Danio rerio: one gene and its partner. The protein of the gene in region 1 interacts with the protein of each later gene in a pairwise test. Links are inferred from orthologs where the notes say so. Each region holds a gene or a part of one and is shown in the gene's direction. Other genes may lie near its edges.

Region 1 (8,264 bases):
ACTGCTCCCTCTTTCAAGCTTTTGCCAGTGACCGCAGAGATGGGGGACACACTCATTCACAGGAACCTCGACCCAAACAAGGATTAAAGAAACAACCTGCGACGAAACAGTAAGTGTGCGTTTCAAACAAGGTATTAAAATTGGATAAATAAAGCATTAAGTGTTTCATAAGAGTTTGCTAGACAGCAAATTGCTAGATTAAAAGTGATGTATACGGGTTATTAATGATGAATTTTTATGTTAGAGTTTAATATTCTTGAGTCTAGATTTGTTTAAAATGAAAGCTTTAAAGGTCATTGGTTTAAATTTTTAATCGTTAGCTAACGGGTAATGCTGCTGCTTAAAATTTAGGTTCGATATGTTTAAATTTTTTTAAGCCTTTTTAAGGCCTACAGTAATCCACAAGCCTTATCCTGGTTTAGTGACACTGATAAATGCCTACAAACAGTTCCAATTGCCCACACTTTTCACTAAATAAATAATCAGGCAGTATCAGTGTAGGCTATATAATTGTATGTTTTATTCAGTTTGTGTTGGTGTAAATTGGCAAACATAATTGTTCTACCAAAATATTCTGAAATAAACAATTATACAAATTTACTTAATTACAAATGCATAACGACCTAAAATAACTACAATGGGGTACTGTAACCACGTTCCCCTTTCACTGTGCAATTAAAAATGAGAAAATGTAGTTGCATTTTGTAAAGAGGTGTGGTTGGGCCTATATTGGAAAAAATATGGTGGCAACCAAATCCTTTAACTCATAATAAATATAAATAATAATAATAAAACAAACCACAAAAAAAAAAAAAAAAAAAAAAATATATATATATATATATATATATATATATATATATATATATATATATATATATATCCCTAATTGTTTGTCATGCTACTTTAAATATTGGTTGTGAAATCTCATGCAATTATGACTTCAAAAACATCATTAGCACTATTAAATTGACTGTGAGCAATGTTGTACTTCGATAGTAGTTGGTTGTTGATATAATTTCAATATTTAGAGTTTTCAGGGAATGCTGTTCTGAATCTCTATTATTAATGGGAAAGTCTGAATGTGCGAATGTAAAACCAACTTTACCAAAATATATAAGTAATATAGTAATCAAAAACAATTAACAGCAATAATAGATAGAACATTTTATGAGGACCACACTCCCAGCATGTGATGGACTGGTCTGTTTGTTCATTATTCACAGAGTCTCTGTTTGGATATTGATGAGTTGTTCCCTCACACCATATCCATGAGAATGACCATCGGCGTCAGGTGGGGTGATGTTCTGGCTCAGCTCAGTCACTTTTTCCATGGTCAATACCTGCCCAAACATCTCTCACTCTTAAGTGGAGTTCAGTGGTGAAGCTTCGATTGGTGGGTGACTGTAAGCCGGGGTCCAGTTCAGTTTCCCTCTGAGCGGCTGATGTGTGTTCTGGGGGTGTAGTGATGAGGATTGAGATAAAGTTGGTTTTATATTCACACATTCAGACTTTCTCCTTAATAATAATCTAATTTCAGAAAAAAACATTGCTAATTATATATTGGCAAAAACAAACAAACATGTAAACAGCCAATGACCATCTAAGTACAACATTGTTTACAGTCATACTTGGATGCAATTTCAGGCTAAATATTCAAAGTAGCATGGTAAACAATATAGGAGCCATTAAAATGAACAAATGTGCAAATATAAAGCCAACTTTTCCTCAATGTGATGAGGGTCAGAATGATAATAGCTTCTACATTTGGATTAAATCTTACTTCACGGCCATTAAAAAGTATTTACATTAAATTCAAAAAGCTGCTTTTATTCAGTTTGCTTTATGATCTTGATCAATATGTGGCCTTTTGAAATAAAAAGCATTACTAAATGTAAGTGCGCATCACAATTAGTTTGTGGCTGAAATGGGAAAATCAAAAAAAGTTTAGCTTTTACCCAATTGCTCTCGCCTGACCAGTTTAATTAAGTTACTTCAAAAAGTAATTACTAATTATATGGTTTAAATTGTATTTAAATTACTTTTCTAGCTTATCTAAAATGTAACTTATTTACTCAATAAGTAATTAATTACTTGACTCCATTTCAAAATCTGCCTAATGAAATTGAACCCTTAAAACGGCAGGTGTCATCACACTTATTCCTGGAGGGCCGGTGTCCTGCAGATTTTAGCTCCAACTCTAATCAAGCACACCTGAACAAGCTAATCGAGCTCTTACTACGTATGCTCGAAACATCCAGGCAGGTGTGTTGAGGCAAGTTGGAGCTAAACTCTGGAGGGACACTGGCCATCCAAGACCAGTGTAGCAGTCGATTCTGGTTCCCCCTCTACAAAGCAAGTCCGCTAACAGAGTCTGCAGACACAACCCCAACACAACTAGGTGTACGGAAAGCCAAAATGGACATTGCTTTCATGTCTTGCAATGCCAAAGTAGCTTAATAAAATGAATCTAACTCTCCCATGAAGTATTTTTTTTTGGTTCTTGTTAGTATTATTAACTTTTTTTTTAAATGTTTGAGTTTATGCACCCTAGTTCAATATTGCGTGAAGGCCTACAGTTATATTAGTCCTTTTCATTTTCAAGTTCAGAAAAAATATGTACTTTTAGAACCACTAGTCTGCTTTCTGTACACCCAGTTGTGTTTAGGTGTCTGCAAAAGCTGTACGAACACCCTTTGTAGAGGGGGAACTGGAAATCCAGAAGGGAACAGAATCGACTGCTACACCGGGAGTGGTGACCCCTGCCTTAAAACCTTTATAAAACCTTAGCTTTATAAAACTTAAAAAACAAACGCCTAACTTTTAAACAACACATTTATCATTAAAAAACCAAAATCTTTTAAAGTAATTGTACAATATTTGATACATATACTAACATTATTTCTGAAAGGATCTAGCCAAATATATTTTTGTATGTAATTTTTATATTTTTAATATATTTTTAAAATGACTAAACTTATTATTTTTAAGAAAACAGATCCAACAGAAGTCTTGAATTTAGTTTTAATCTCTATTTTATTGGCAAAATTGTACATACACAAACAGGAATTGGCTAAATCATCTCCCACATTAACAGTTTTCTGTATCTAGTTTGACTTTATTTCTGTGAAATGATTGAAAAGCAAAAAAATCTGAGATATGTATTAACTATTATAACACTTGTTTGATTCCCCTGTCAGTTTTTAAAATCATTGGATGTAGAATTTCTGTACACTATGCTTTGTGTATTCATTTTAATTAGTTATTTTTATTCATTATTATATATTTATCTATAAATATTTTTTTACGATTATTAAATTAGTTTTTTTGTTTCATCTTTTATATTGTGTTGTATGTTTGTTCCTGATAGTTATGCAATACCAAAATAGGCTAAAACACCTCAATGAAAATAGCAAAATAATAAAACAACAGCACTAAACCAATGCTGTCCTATAATGTATTTAGAGTCACAATGCTGAGTTTATAATCTTACATAATAACCACTTTATAATATTGAAAAATATGTGCAATTTTGAAAAGAAAAATGTAAATGCGGATGAAAAGAAGGTGCTTTGGCGGTTTCTGTGATCGATTCTTTTGCCTAGGGAATCTCTTGAAATCTGCGATCGACCCTTCGGGTATGCTGGTTTTCAAGATGGCGCCGCTCTCATCGTCCACACGTGAGGTGTTCAGTGAAGCAGTTCGGGCTGTTTTGGAAACTTGGCCGGTGCTGCAAGTTAGTAAACTAATAGCATTTGTGATCGGAAATACATATCATATGATACCATGTCTGCAAAATCTATTACGTAAGCTTCAGTCTGATATGAATCGGCAAGCAGACTGATATCAGGATGCGCTTCACAGTGTAAACATGTCTGTGTCGCGATATTTCTTTCAGCTGCTCGTGTATATATACATATACATACATATATATATATATATATATATATATATATATATATATATATATATATATATATATATATATACATATATATATATATATATATACATATATATGTGTATATATATATATATATGTATATATATATATATATGTGTATATATATATATATATACATATATATACATATATATATATACACATATATATATATATATATATATATATATACACATATATATATATATATATATATACATACATATATATATATATACATATATATATATACATATATGTATATATATATATATATATATATATATATATACATACATATATATATATATATATATATATATATATATATATATATATATATATATATATATATATATATACATACATATATACACACACAGTAAATAATGTGTTTTGTTATTAGATAGCGGTGGACAACGGCTTCGGTGGAGCGTTCAGTCAGCAGAAGGCGGAGTGGATGGTGGACGCGCTGCAGCAATACTTCACCGACAACGGTCAGAGCGCTGCACTCAACACCTTAGCAACCGCCAAGAAACCCACGACTGAACATTCTGTCATAATTTTCTCACCCTTCACTTGTTCCAAACCAGTTTGATTTTTTTATTGCGTTAAACACAAAATAAGTTATTTTGAAGAATGTTTGAAACCAGTAACCACTGACTATCCCAGTGTTTTTTCGTACTCTGGGTGTCAATGGTTTTCAGGACTCTTCAAAATATCTTTTGAAGCCACTCGAGTGTGAGCTGGTGAGGGTGTGTAAATTGTTCTATTTTAGTGAATTGTCTCTTTAAGAGCTGACAGATGGTCTGTTTGTGTCCACAGGTGATCTCCAGCAGGATGAGGTGGAGGACTTTATCTCTGAGCTCATGAACAATGAGTTCAACACAGTGGTGGATGATGGCAGTCTGCCTCAGGTCTGTTGTCTTTTGGTCTTGACATGAGAGATCTGAATGAAAGCTAGCTGGAGGTGTGTGTGTGTGTGTGTGTGTGTGTGTGTGTGTGTGTGTGTGTGTGTGTGTGTGTGTGTGTGTGTGTGTGTGTGTGTGTGTGTGTGTGTGTGTGTGTGTGTGTGTGTGTGTGTGTGTGTGTGTGTGTGTGTGTGTGTGTGAGAGATTATTATCATCTACCTTCCTTTCTATATTTTATCTATTTATATCATACTATCTGTTGTTCTATCTATACATCTATCCATTGTTCTATATATCTTTTTTATTCTATCTATTATTCTATCCATTGTTTGATTAATTTATTGTTTTGATCCATCTAACATTCTGTCTATTATTCTGTCTATATATCCATGTCATTCTATCTGTTGTTCTATCCATATATCTGTCATTCTGTCTATTGTTCTATCAATCTTACATAGACATAGCTATGTCTCTATCTCTATCCATCCATCCATCTATCCATCGTTTTATTGATCTATCGATCTTTCATTCTGTCTATCATTTTATCTGTTGTTCTATATATTTATTATTCTATCTGTCGATCATTCTATTATTGTTCTATCTTATCGTTCTATCCTCATTTTTCATTCTGTCTATCGTTCTATTGTTTTCTCTGCAGAGCTATGTCGTTCCATCTGTATATCTATCATTCTAGCTATCGTTTTATCTATTGCTCTGTTGTTTTAGTCTATCGTTCTATCCTTTGATAGATCTATAACGTTATATCTATAAGTCTATTCATATGTCTATGTTATTCTATATATCATTCTCTGTATCTATTGTTTTATCGATCTATCATTCTATTTATACATCTACAGTTGAAGTCAGAATTATCAGCCCCCTTCAATTTTTTTTCTTCTTTTTTTAAAATAATTTTCAAATGATGTTTAACAGAGCAAGGACATTTTCACAGTATGTCTGATAATATTTTTTCTTCTGGAGAAAGTCTCATTTGTTTTATTTCGGCTAAAATAAAAGCTGTTTTTAATTTATTAAACACCATTTTAGGGGTAATATTATTAGCCCCTTTAAGCTAGACTTTTTCTCGATTGCCTACAGAACAAACCACCGTTATACAATAACTTGCCTAATTACCCTAACCTGCCTAGTTAACCTAATTAACCTAGTTAAGCCTTTAAAAGTCACTTTAAGCTGTATGAAAGTGTCTTGAAAAAGATCTAGTCAAATATTATTTACTGTCATCTTGGCAAAGATAAAATAAATACATTATTACAAATGTGTTATTAAATTATTATGTTTAGAAATGTTGAAAAAATCTCTCCGTTAAACAGAATTTGGGGAAAACATAAACAAGCGGTTTAATAAGTCAGGGGGGCTAATAATTCTGAGTTCAACTGTATATCATTCTATCTATATATCAATTGTTCTATAAATCTATCATTCTATCGGTCCATCTATATATTGTTCTATTTATGTATATAAATATTCCATCTATCTCATTCTATATCATTCTATCTATATCATTTTATTTCTGTATCAGTCTATCAGTCTTATTCTATCAGTCTTGCTCTATTGGTCTCGTTCTATCAGTCTTGCTCTATCTAGCGTGTTCTATTTAGCTCGTTCTATCTATAATTCTATCTGTTGTTCTATCCCGTTAAAGACACAATTATAAACGCTCCTGTGAAAGGACTTAATTATTTCGCAAGTGATCATGTTCATGTTTTGTATGCATTTTTGTTTTGTTGATTTGATCACTTCGTGTCCTCATTTTTATTTGTCTCTGAATAGAAACTCATGGATGATTAAATGTGTGTGTTTCTTTGTGTGTGTCAGGTGGCGCAGCAGGTGTGTGGGATGTTCCAGCAGTGTGAGCAGGGCAGATTGGCGGAGGTCAGAGAGCAGATCCTTAAACTGAAACAGAAGAAGACAAGCAGCGGAAGAGCTAAAGCCACTCCTGCACAAACACCTCAGGATGATGATGATGATGATGATGAGGAAGAGGTGCAGTGTATATGTGTTCAGAAAAAAAACAATCATACATTTTTCAGTGTTTTAGACAATTTCTATGTAGAATATAAAGACTTTTTATTTATATATGTATCGATTTATATGCATGTCACTTATACATCTACACTTTAAAAGTCTACATCAACATAACAGTAATATTTTTAAATGAAGGCCACTGTTTGTCCTGTCTTAGGTCAGGCGTTACTGTAGTTTCCCCAACCCTGTTCCTTGAGGCACACCAACAGCATACTGAATGTCTCCCTCATCTGATCCATTCATTTGAGATTTTGGAGTCTCTTCTAATGTTCCAATGAGCTGATTCAGGTGTGTTTGATTAGGAAAAGGTTGAAAATGTGTACTGTTGGTGTGCCTTCAGGAACAGGGTTGGGAAACACTGTTCTACTTTGCTGTGATTTAAAGGGCACCTATGGTGAAAAATCTACTTTTCAAGCTGTTTGGACGGACGTATGTGTGTATAGTGTTTAGACTGTCCTATTGGGGTAATATAAACACACACAGTCCTTTTTTTTTTTCAATTTAACTACATAAAAACGATTGACCAATTGGAGCGGTTTTTAGACCGACTGCAACTTTACGTAGGAGAGCGGTCCCCCCGTCCACCAATATTGATTGTCAGCCTCGCGTCACGATCATATCCTCAGTTTCTTGTTTCACATCCGCCATTTTCAGTGTGTAAGTCAAAGCGATGTCACTAAAGGAACACCCTTGCTCTATTTTTAGATGAAAAGCTCATTGGGCTCAACACAAGATCAATATTCTCCACATTATCGCTCTAATCGGAATTATTGCTTGTACCATTTGCGTGGCGCCGTGCATTTCGGAGTTCTGGGCGTGGGTTTCGGTCGGGGTGCACGCGGCGGAGCTTTGGGTTGGCGGCGCCGTTGTAGTTGCCCTGGTGGAGGCCTGTGTTTGGAGTTCTCGAATGCGTGGTGTGTTTCGATTCGAGACATGTTTCTGCCACGCCACTGAGAGTGTCTGGTGTGCTGTGTCGTGGCGCAGTCATTGCCTCAATCAAGGTTAATTCCGTGTGTCTGGTTATCAGTCTCGGTGTACAAGCTCGGCACTTGTACACAGAGACTATACAAACAAATGATTTTGTACCATCTGCTTGGTCAGTCCTACTCGTACATGTACGGCTGAATGCTGATCCTAGCTAAGCTTTGCTTCTCTCTCTCTGTCTGTCAGCCTGTCTGTTGCAAACACAGAGCGTGGGAGCTTTTGGCTCCGCCCCCTTGTTAAGTTGGGTGGGAAGCCGAAACTAATTTTCATATGAAGCAACACGCCCCTAAAACTGTAAACGCCCACAACATGACACTTTTTAACACATTATAATAAAAACATCTGAACTGTGTGTTGAACCGAACCTAAACTGGCACACAGAT
Region 2 (7,687 bases), on another chromosome or scaffold:
TTTCCAGTCCAAAGACATGTGCTATAGGTGAATTGGATTAACTAAATTGTATGAATTATTGTGTGAATGTGAGAGTGTATGGATGTTTCACAGTACTGGATTATGGCTGGAAAGGCATCCGTTGTGTAAAAAATATGGCAGTATAGTTGGCGATTCATTCCACTGTGGTAACCCCTGATAAATAAGGAACTAAGCCAAAGGAAAATGAATGAATGATGATCAATTATTTGTACTTGTAGTAACAGTTTTTGATGTGTTTGTGTCCATCTCTGGTGGTTCATCTGCAGTGCTTTGCACATTTTCAGATGAACAATGGTACATTGTTTAAATGCAATCCACTGGGAGAAAAATGTTAAGACAAAGGAAAAAAGCATTGGGTTTTTTGGTTTTAATTATTGGCTATGTTTTTACAGCAACAGTGGGCAAGTGTTCAGCTCTGACACATGAACAGAGGAATGTTTATTTGCTGCAGTTTAGGGGCATAGCGGTTACAGAAACACTGACACATTCCTGTGTCACCATGTCTGCCTTTTTCCTCTTCATCTCATGATGGCTTAAAGGCATAGTTCACCAAAACAATTTTATTTTGTCATCGTTTACTCATCCTCCACTTATTCTAAACCCGAGTTTCAGTCTTCGATTAAACACAAGGGAAGATTGACTGAAAAATGCTGGAAAAACAGCAGGTGATTTCCACAGTATTTTTGTTCCTACAACGGAGGTTAATGGCTGCCTTTTTCAAGCATTCTTCAGTCACTCTTCCTTTGTGTTCATCTGAAGATTGAAATTCTTAAAAGTTTAGAATCATATGACTCTTTTTGGCTACTCCTTTTATTAATCTGGGGTTGCCACAATGGGATAACCTGCCAACTTACTCAGCATATGTTTTACACAGCAGATGCTCTTAAAGCTGCAAACCAATCACTGCGAAACATCTGTATACACTTATACACTATGGACAATTTAGCCTACCTAATTCACCTATAGCGCACGTCTTTGGACTTGTGGGGAAAATTGGAGCACCCGGAGAAACCCACACGAACACGGGAAGAACATGTGAACTCCACATAGAAATGCCAACTGACCCAATCGAGGCTCGAACCAGCAACACTATTTGCTGTGAGGTGATCATGCTGAACCACTGTGACGCCCTGAAATTAATATCTTAAAATTATTACACGTTCAAAGAAATTTACAATAAGAATGGGAGTGAATTTGATTGTGTGTTCCTTTCTGTCAGTGGGTCCTTTCCATTCCCATCATGAACCAATAAAGAAAAGGGTTTTTTGGCAACAGTTCCTTCAATGCAGTGACACAGGGGACAGTCTACCGCAGGAGCTACACATCCACTCTTCCATACTGAGAGCAGCTTGCATAAGTACACATCCCTCATTGCCACTCAACTCCAAAAACCAACTCTATAATCACCTCCAGAAGCAAACCAGAGGTTATTTCAGAATATCAACAACCAATCGTCAATCATTTTAGAAATGGAAAGAAGTGACAGCTCTTGAGCATAGTACACAAGTCTGATACAGGAAAATATACAATAACTAACACATATACTAACAAGGATCATTCCAGAACAATAATCAGATAACTGGTCGTGACAAAATATGGTGGTAGGCTATCTCACCAATCTTCTTTGCTTGGGTACAACATTAAGCACTGATGAATAAGTGACTGACTACACCAGATTAAGAGTCTTAGTTCTCATAGGCTTTACTGACATCTAGTGGAAATCTCAATAAGTCACAGATTTCAAGCATCAAATGAATTCAAGGTTTTATACAGATTTATATGCAACTGTTGCCTATTTTTTTAACTTTTGATTTTGATTGAAAGAAATCACCCACTAAATATTACCCAGTGTACAAAAAAACATATAGTCTCCAGATTAACAAGAATCATTTGATGGCAAATTAGAAGATTTATATAATGCCACTATAGGCTGTACTGTACTCATTTTTCATCAGGATGTTTTGTCAATAAAATGTTATAGAATTGACTTTTTAAGTATTGAAATAAGTACGGGAAATTCAAATTTTGAATGGATTTGGAATTGGATTTTAAACCTGGGACAATGGGTATTATTAGGAATCTCTTCATTTTGTGCAACTATAAAAGTTGGCAGAATGGAATGCTTCCAAACTTTAAAAGATAAGTTTGGTTTTCTAAAACAAAACCTATTTAGATATTTACAGTTGCGGGACTATTATATGAAAGAAATACAGGATGAAAATTGGAACAATCAGCTTGTTTAGATTTTCATTCAGACGTACAAGAAGAGAACGACTAAAACATTTTCTAAATTATATAGAGTAATAAGTCATTAATGTTTAGTTGAACTCAGAATTATTAGCCCCCCTGAATTATTACCCCCCCCATATTTGTTCCCCAATTTCTGTTTAAAGAAGAAAATATTTTTTTTTCAACACATTTCTAAACATAATAGTTTTAATAACTAATTTCTAATAACTGATTAATTTTAACGTTGACATGATGACAGTAATTAATATTTGTTTAAGAAAAGTAAACAAAAACCACTCAAACACAGTAATTTGAGTATTTGTAATTAGTTTGTTCGTTTCCACTTGTTTGTTTCCACTGGTTATATGATCCAAAAAAAAATCTATAAAAACTAGATATAAAAAAAGAAATAAGTTTGGCAGTTTCATTTTTATGACAGACACACACACACACACACACACACACACACACACACACACACACACACACACACACACACACACAATGGATAAACAATTCTTTACGAAAATGGTTCATCTGTGTTAATTACTGTGACAAAGTGACCATGTTAGTTTTTGCTACATCAACCCCAGTTCAAGAAAAAAGAAAGAAAGACTTGCATATTTGTTACTACTGTTAGCTTTTAGTAATAAAACAAACAAATAAACCCATGCATACATATAAAATTGGAGATAGAGGACTGCTACCTCTTAATACAGTATTAATTGCAGCACCACAATGGGTCTCATCTGTGACATGTATATTTACCTTGCAGTATTTGGGTTTACCAAGATGTCATATTTCTCCTGTTCTTTCAGGGAGGTCATGTTACCTCACTTTACGTCGAGCACCATCTCTCTTTGTATGTGCATTATATCACAGGTAAAACATAATATGAAGAATTCGTTCAAATGTTTATATATTAAAATTGCACAATATTAAGATCTGTAATCGATTATTGAAATAATAAAATGGGTTTACTTTTAGGGCTTTTATTTTCTTAACTACATACTTCCGGCCGCCGTGTGAACTATAAAAATGACGTAAGAGCTTTTCCGGTCCTCTTTCATGCCTCTCTAAAATCAAGATGGTGAGTTTACCAATCGTTCAGTCAGAGGCTAGTCCTGTATTCTGGCTCGATCTTTACGATACGGCGTATTATCTCGCCGGGTACGCGTTTCGGAGTGAAGTTTATTCATTCATCAGCAAACACTAATCGGTTTTTAGGCAAATTAACCCATTGAAGCGATAAAACGCCTGAGGTGTCTACGCATGTAACGTTACACTAAAGCATCGTACGCATTCACAACTATTACATTTAAACGTAATGCATCTACAAGTTACGCCTTTACGCACGCAAACATAAAAGTGATCTTTTTATATATGTATTTCAAAATTGTAAAGTTAAAATTAAATCACCACACTATATCATTTAATACACAATAGGCCTTATTGCATGTTAAATGAAAAGTGTATCATAACACATAATTTTTATTGTGTTTTTTTATAGCAATTGCAGTATGTAAGTTTATTTCAAAGCGTTATAAAGTAAATATATAATTTTAAGTAACATGCCCAAGCCTGAAATGAAGTAAATCAGTGTTTTTAGGTTGTCCCCTGAAAACCACTTCTCATTGTACTTTTCCACATCTTAGACTAAGAAGAGGAGGAATAACGGTCGTGCTAAGAAGGGACGAGGGCATGTCCAGCCCATCCGCTGCACAAACTGCGCCCGCTGTGTGCCCAAGGACAAGGCCATTAAGAAGTTTGTCATCAGGAATATTGTGGAGGCTGCTGCAGTCAGGGACATCTCTGAAGCCAGTGTGTTTGATTGTGAGTAAACAGTTGCTTTAGAAAATGAGGACACTGATTGTGTCCCTAGTGCCCTTTTGAAACTATTGTTTTAGATGTCTCCTACAATAGATCATCAAAGATCAAAAATCGTATAATACAGGTGGCAGCATCCAGTCTAAAATGGTCCATTCCACGATCCAATCTTTCTAATCCTTTGCTTTTTGAGTGCCTGTTCAGATTGGCCAGTCTGCTGTGATGAGTCAACCACTTACAACAAATGTTGGAAGCCATAGTCATTCTCATATCTCTAGGGTGTTCAAACTAAAATCCTGGAGCACCACTGTCCTAAAAAAAATTGGTTTCAGTTACAATTAAACACACTAGCTTCCAGGCAGTTGGCCCTAAACTCTACAGGATATAGTTTAGACACCACTGCCATAATTTAATTTCTCTGGAAGCTTTCTCTACACTTTCAAATACAGTGATATGAGCTGTAACAGTAGTGCCCGTTTTACTGTAGCAATTTGATCTGCAGACTTCGTCCTTTGGGAGTGCTGATAAGTTAATTAGCTGTTGCAGCAAAATAAGCAGCATCTCAACACAACAGGTTGTTTATAAGGCTCAAAGTTGACATTGTTTACTTCGCAGGCTTTGAAGACCATTCAAGTATGAAATTATGCTAATTTGCTAGAAACCTACATACATTTGTGCTTATTTTTTCAGGGAGAGATTAGTTATGTATTGTGCACTTTGATCATTGAAGCTTTGCAGACTAAGATTTATAAAAGGTTACATTACATACTACATGATGCATGGCAAAGCATGACAGAGGCATTGTACAATATTAACAGTTATGTTTTGTTTTTGTGCAGCCTATGTTTTGCCCAAACTCTATGTGAAGCTGCACTACTGTGTCAGCTGTGCCATCCACAGTAAAGTGGTGAGGAACCGCTCTCGCGAGGCCAGGAAGGACCGTACACCACCTCCACGCTTCAGGCCTACTGTAAGTCTGGTCTTCACATCAGTGTTACAAACATGAATAAATAAAACATGCTATTTTATGCTTTTTTATCTATATGTAACTGTTTTCTGTTTCTTTTTCCAGGGTGGTGCCCCAAGAGCTCCTCCAAAACCAATGTGATCTGGAGCCGTTTACATAATTTTTTTATGTAAAGAAATAAAATTGACTTAAATGTTAATGTGTTCTTTTGTTATTGGTTACTAAAGTTTACCGAAATGCATTTTGAATAGACAATACTACAAATTTTGTTCATATTTTTTATTACCTATTTAAACGCTCAGTTCCATAAGTGGGATGTTTTTCAGTATATTGTGTTACCTTGATAAACTACAGTAGTCAACATTTGAAGTGGATTAAAACCTTTCCTTAAAGTGGAACTGAAACTATACTTGTTCTTTTTATGATCCACCTAAATGTTGACTACTATATATCATGCATTGTTCAACCATAAAAATGGGCTGACCATTAAGGGGTTACGTTTTTGAATAAATGAATGGTAAAGCATTAAATTAGGAATAACCTAATGTATTACAGATAAAGGTGGTGCAGCGGTTAGCACTGTTACCTCACAGCAAGAAGGTCGCTTGTTCGAGTCAGTTGGCATTTCTGTGTGGAGTTTACATGTTCTCCGTGTTCGCATGGGTTTCCTCTGTGTGCTCTGGTTACCCCCACAGTCCAAAGCTATGCGTTATAGGTGAATTGAATAAACTAAATTGGCTGTAGTGTATGTGTGTGTGCATGCCAGAATGTATGGTTGTTTCCGAGTGCTGGGTTGTGGCTAGAAGGGTATCCGCTTGGTAAAACATATGCTGGATAAGTTGGCAGTTCGTTCCGCTGTGGCAACCCCTGATTATTAAATGGACTAAGCCGAAGGAAAATGAAATTAAAGATAGATTAATGTAAATATACATTTGTTAATTGTTAGAGTGGTTCATGTTACCTTTTTAAAGGAATACTGTTAATATTAAAATTAGACGGTTACTTGACAATAGTATATAATATGCTGAAACTGTTTGTGTAAATCATGGGTGTCCAAACTCAGTACCGGAGGGCTGGTGTCCGGGAAAGTTTAGCTCCAACCTTAATCAAACCTGAACCTGCTAATCAAGCTCTTACTAGATATACTAGAAACTTCCTGGTAGGTGTGTTAAAGCAAGTTGGAGTTAAACTCAGCAGGACACCGGGGGTCAGTTCTTCGTACGTGGATTACTCAGTTAGCTGGATTTGGATATTGACGATTTGACACGATCCAGGATCGTTTCGTTCTTCAAAGCTGATCCGAGAGTTGTTGTCATGGCAACAGATCTGCTAGGTCAAACCTGATCGGGAGCAGGTTCAAATCATATAAACAGGATTAGATCGGCTCAGTTCAAGCAAAGATAATACAGAAAGTATGTACCGAGTTCTGATATTTTCTTACAGTAAAAGTTATATACACTTGGGAAAATAGTAGTTTTTAACTATATATTTAAAGTTATAGTCATTAATAAAATAAATAAAGTTTTACATATTAATAAAACGTATGCAATCTGCACCCTCGAAATGAAAGTACAAAGACTGCCACCTGGTGGTGCAAAGAGAAAACTTATTGGTATGAACTTTTTAGATCGCTTTAGTACAAATTGTGTATAATAGAAATGCACAATATGTGACTTTTTTTTAAAAGCAATAATACATTTATGCAGTCATAAACATGTTTTGACAGTTAATATGCCAGTGATTTGATGCTTCACAAAAGTTGCAGACGCCTTTACCAATATCAAAATGCTTTTGGAAACAACCAGTTATTCTTTACACCGATTAAAAAACTGTACTATAATAAAGAAAATCTTTTCTAAATGTAGAACTAAATACACTGATTTGCATTGAAATACATGATGAATACTCTTGTCTTGACAAATGAAAGTGTAAAGCCTGCAGCTCACAACAAATGTGAAGTTACTGCGTGTCTTATTTAACAAGCCGTTTACTGCTAATTTGATGTAATTTTGCTCACATGGATAATTGAATATTAATCAGATGATGTCATTACGCTGCTGTGCCGTCAGCCAATCGTTGCATTGCTGATCATGATTTCGAGGATCGATAGATCTGTCCTTAACAACAAACGCAGCGATCTCAGATCAGTTCATCCAGACATTCTAATCTGATTCGCGAACTTGTTTGAAGAACCAAATAAGCGAGAGATCAGTTATCAAGATTAAAAGATTCAGGATCTGCCAAATCATCTTAGATCATTTAAGCGAGGTACGAAGAACGGACCCCGGCTCACCAGGACTAAGTTGACACCCCTGGTAAAAACAAACTATGGAAAGTTCATTTAAATAAAAGCGAAATCAAATACAAACATTACATGGAAATAAATTTAAACCGGTTGAAATAAAACATGAACCTGAAACTGAATCCTAATAAACGGTATAATTGCTAAACCTAAAGACTTGGAAATAAAACATAGCAACACTATATTATTAACACTGTTGGGTCAAGTAAACTAAAAAATAATACAAGATATACTTTAAATCAGGGATGCTCAACCCTGTTCCTGGGGATCTACCTTCCTGATTAGTTCAGCTCCAACCCTGATCAAACACACCTGAACCAATTAATTAGGTCCTGAACAGC

Evidence for each region. The genes of interacting proteins can lie anywhere in the genome.
Region 2: the proteins of tsr2 (region 1) and rps26 interact in binary tests that used the Homo sapiens proteins (3 or more experiments, as listed by UniProt). The two-hybrid records come from large-scale screens. The link is inferred for Danio rerio from reciprocal best matches to the Homo sapiens genes TSR2 and RPS26.

The regions. Positions count from the first base shown.
Region 1 is NC_133183.1:9,896,087-9,904,350, reverse strand, and holds the start of tsr2 (pre-rRNA-processing protein TSR2 homolog), read left to right. Parts: upstream 1-3,639; 5' UTR 3,640-3,652; coding exon 3,653-3,733; intron 3,734-4,346; coding exon 4,347-4,437; intron 4,438-4,765; coding exon 4,766-4,857; intron 4,858-6,687; coding exon 6,688-6,855; intron 6,856-8,264. UniProt on the Homo sapiens protein: May be involved in 20S pre-rRNA processing.
Region 2 is NC_133198.1:30,593,925-30,601,611, forward strand, and holds rps26 (40S ribosomal protein S26), read left to right. Parts: upstream 1-3,326; 5' UTR 3,327-3,337; coding exon 3,338-3,340; intron 3,341-3,905; coding exon 3,906-4,083; intron 4,084-4,916; coding exon 4,917-5,047; intron 5,048-5,149; coding exon 5,150-5,185; 3' UTR 5,186-5,243; downstream 5,244-7,687.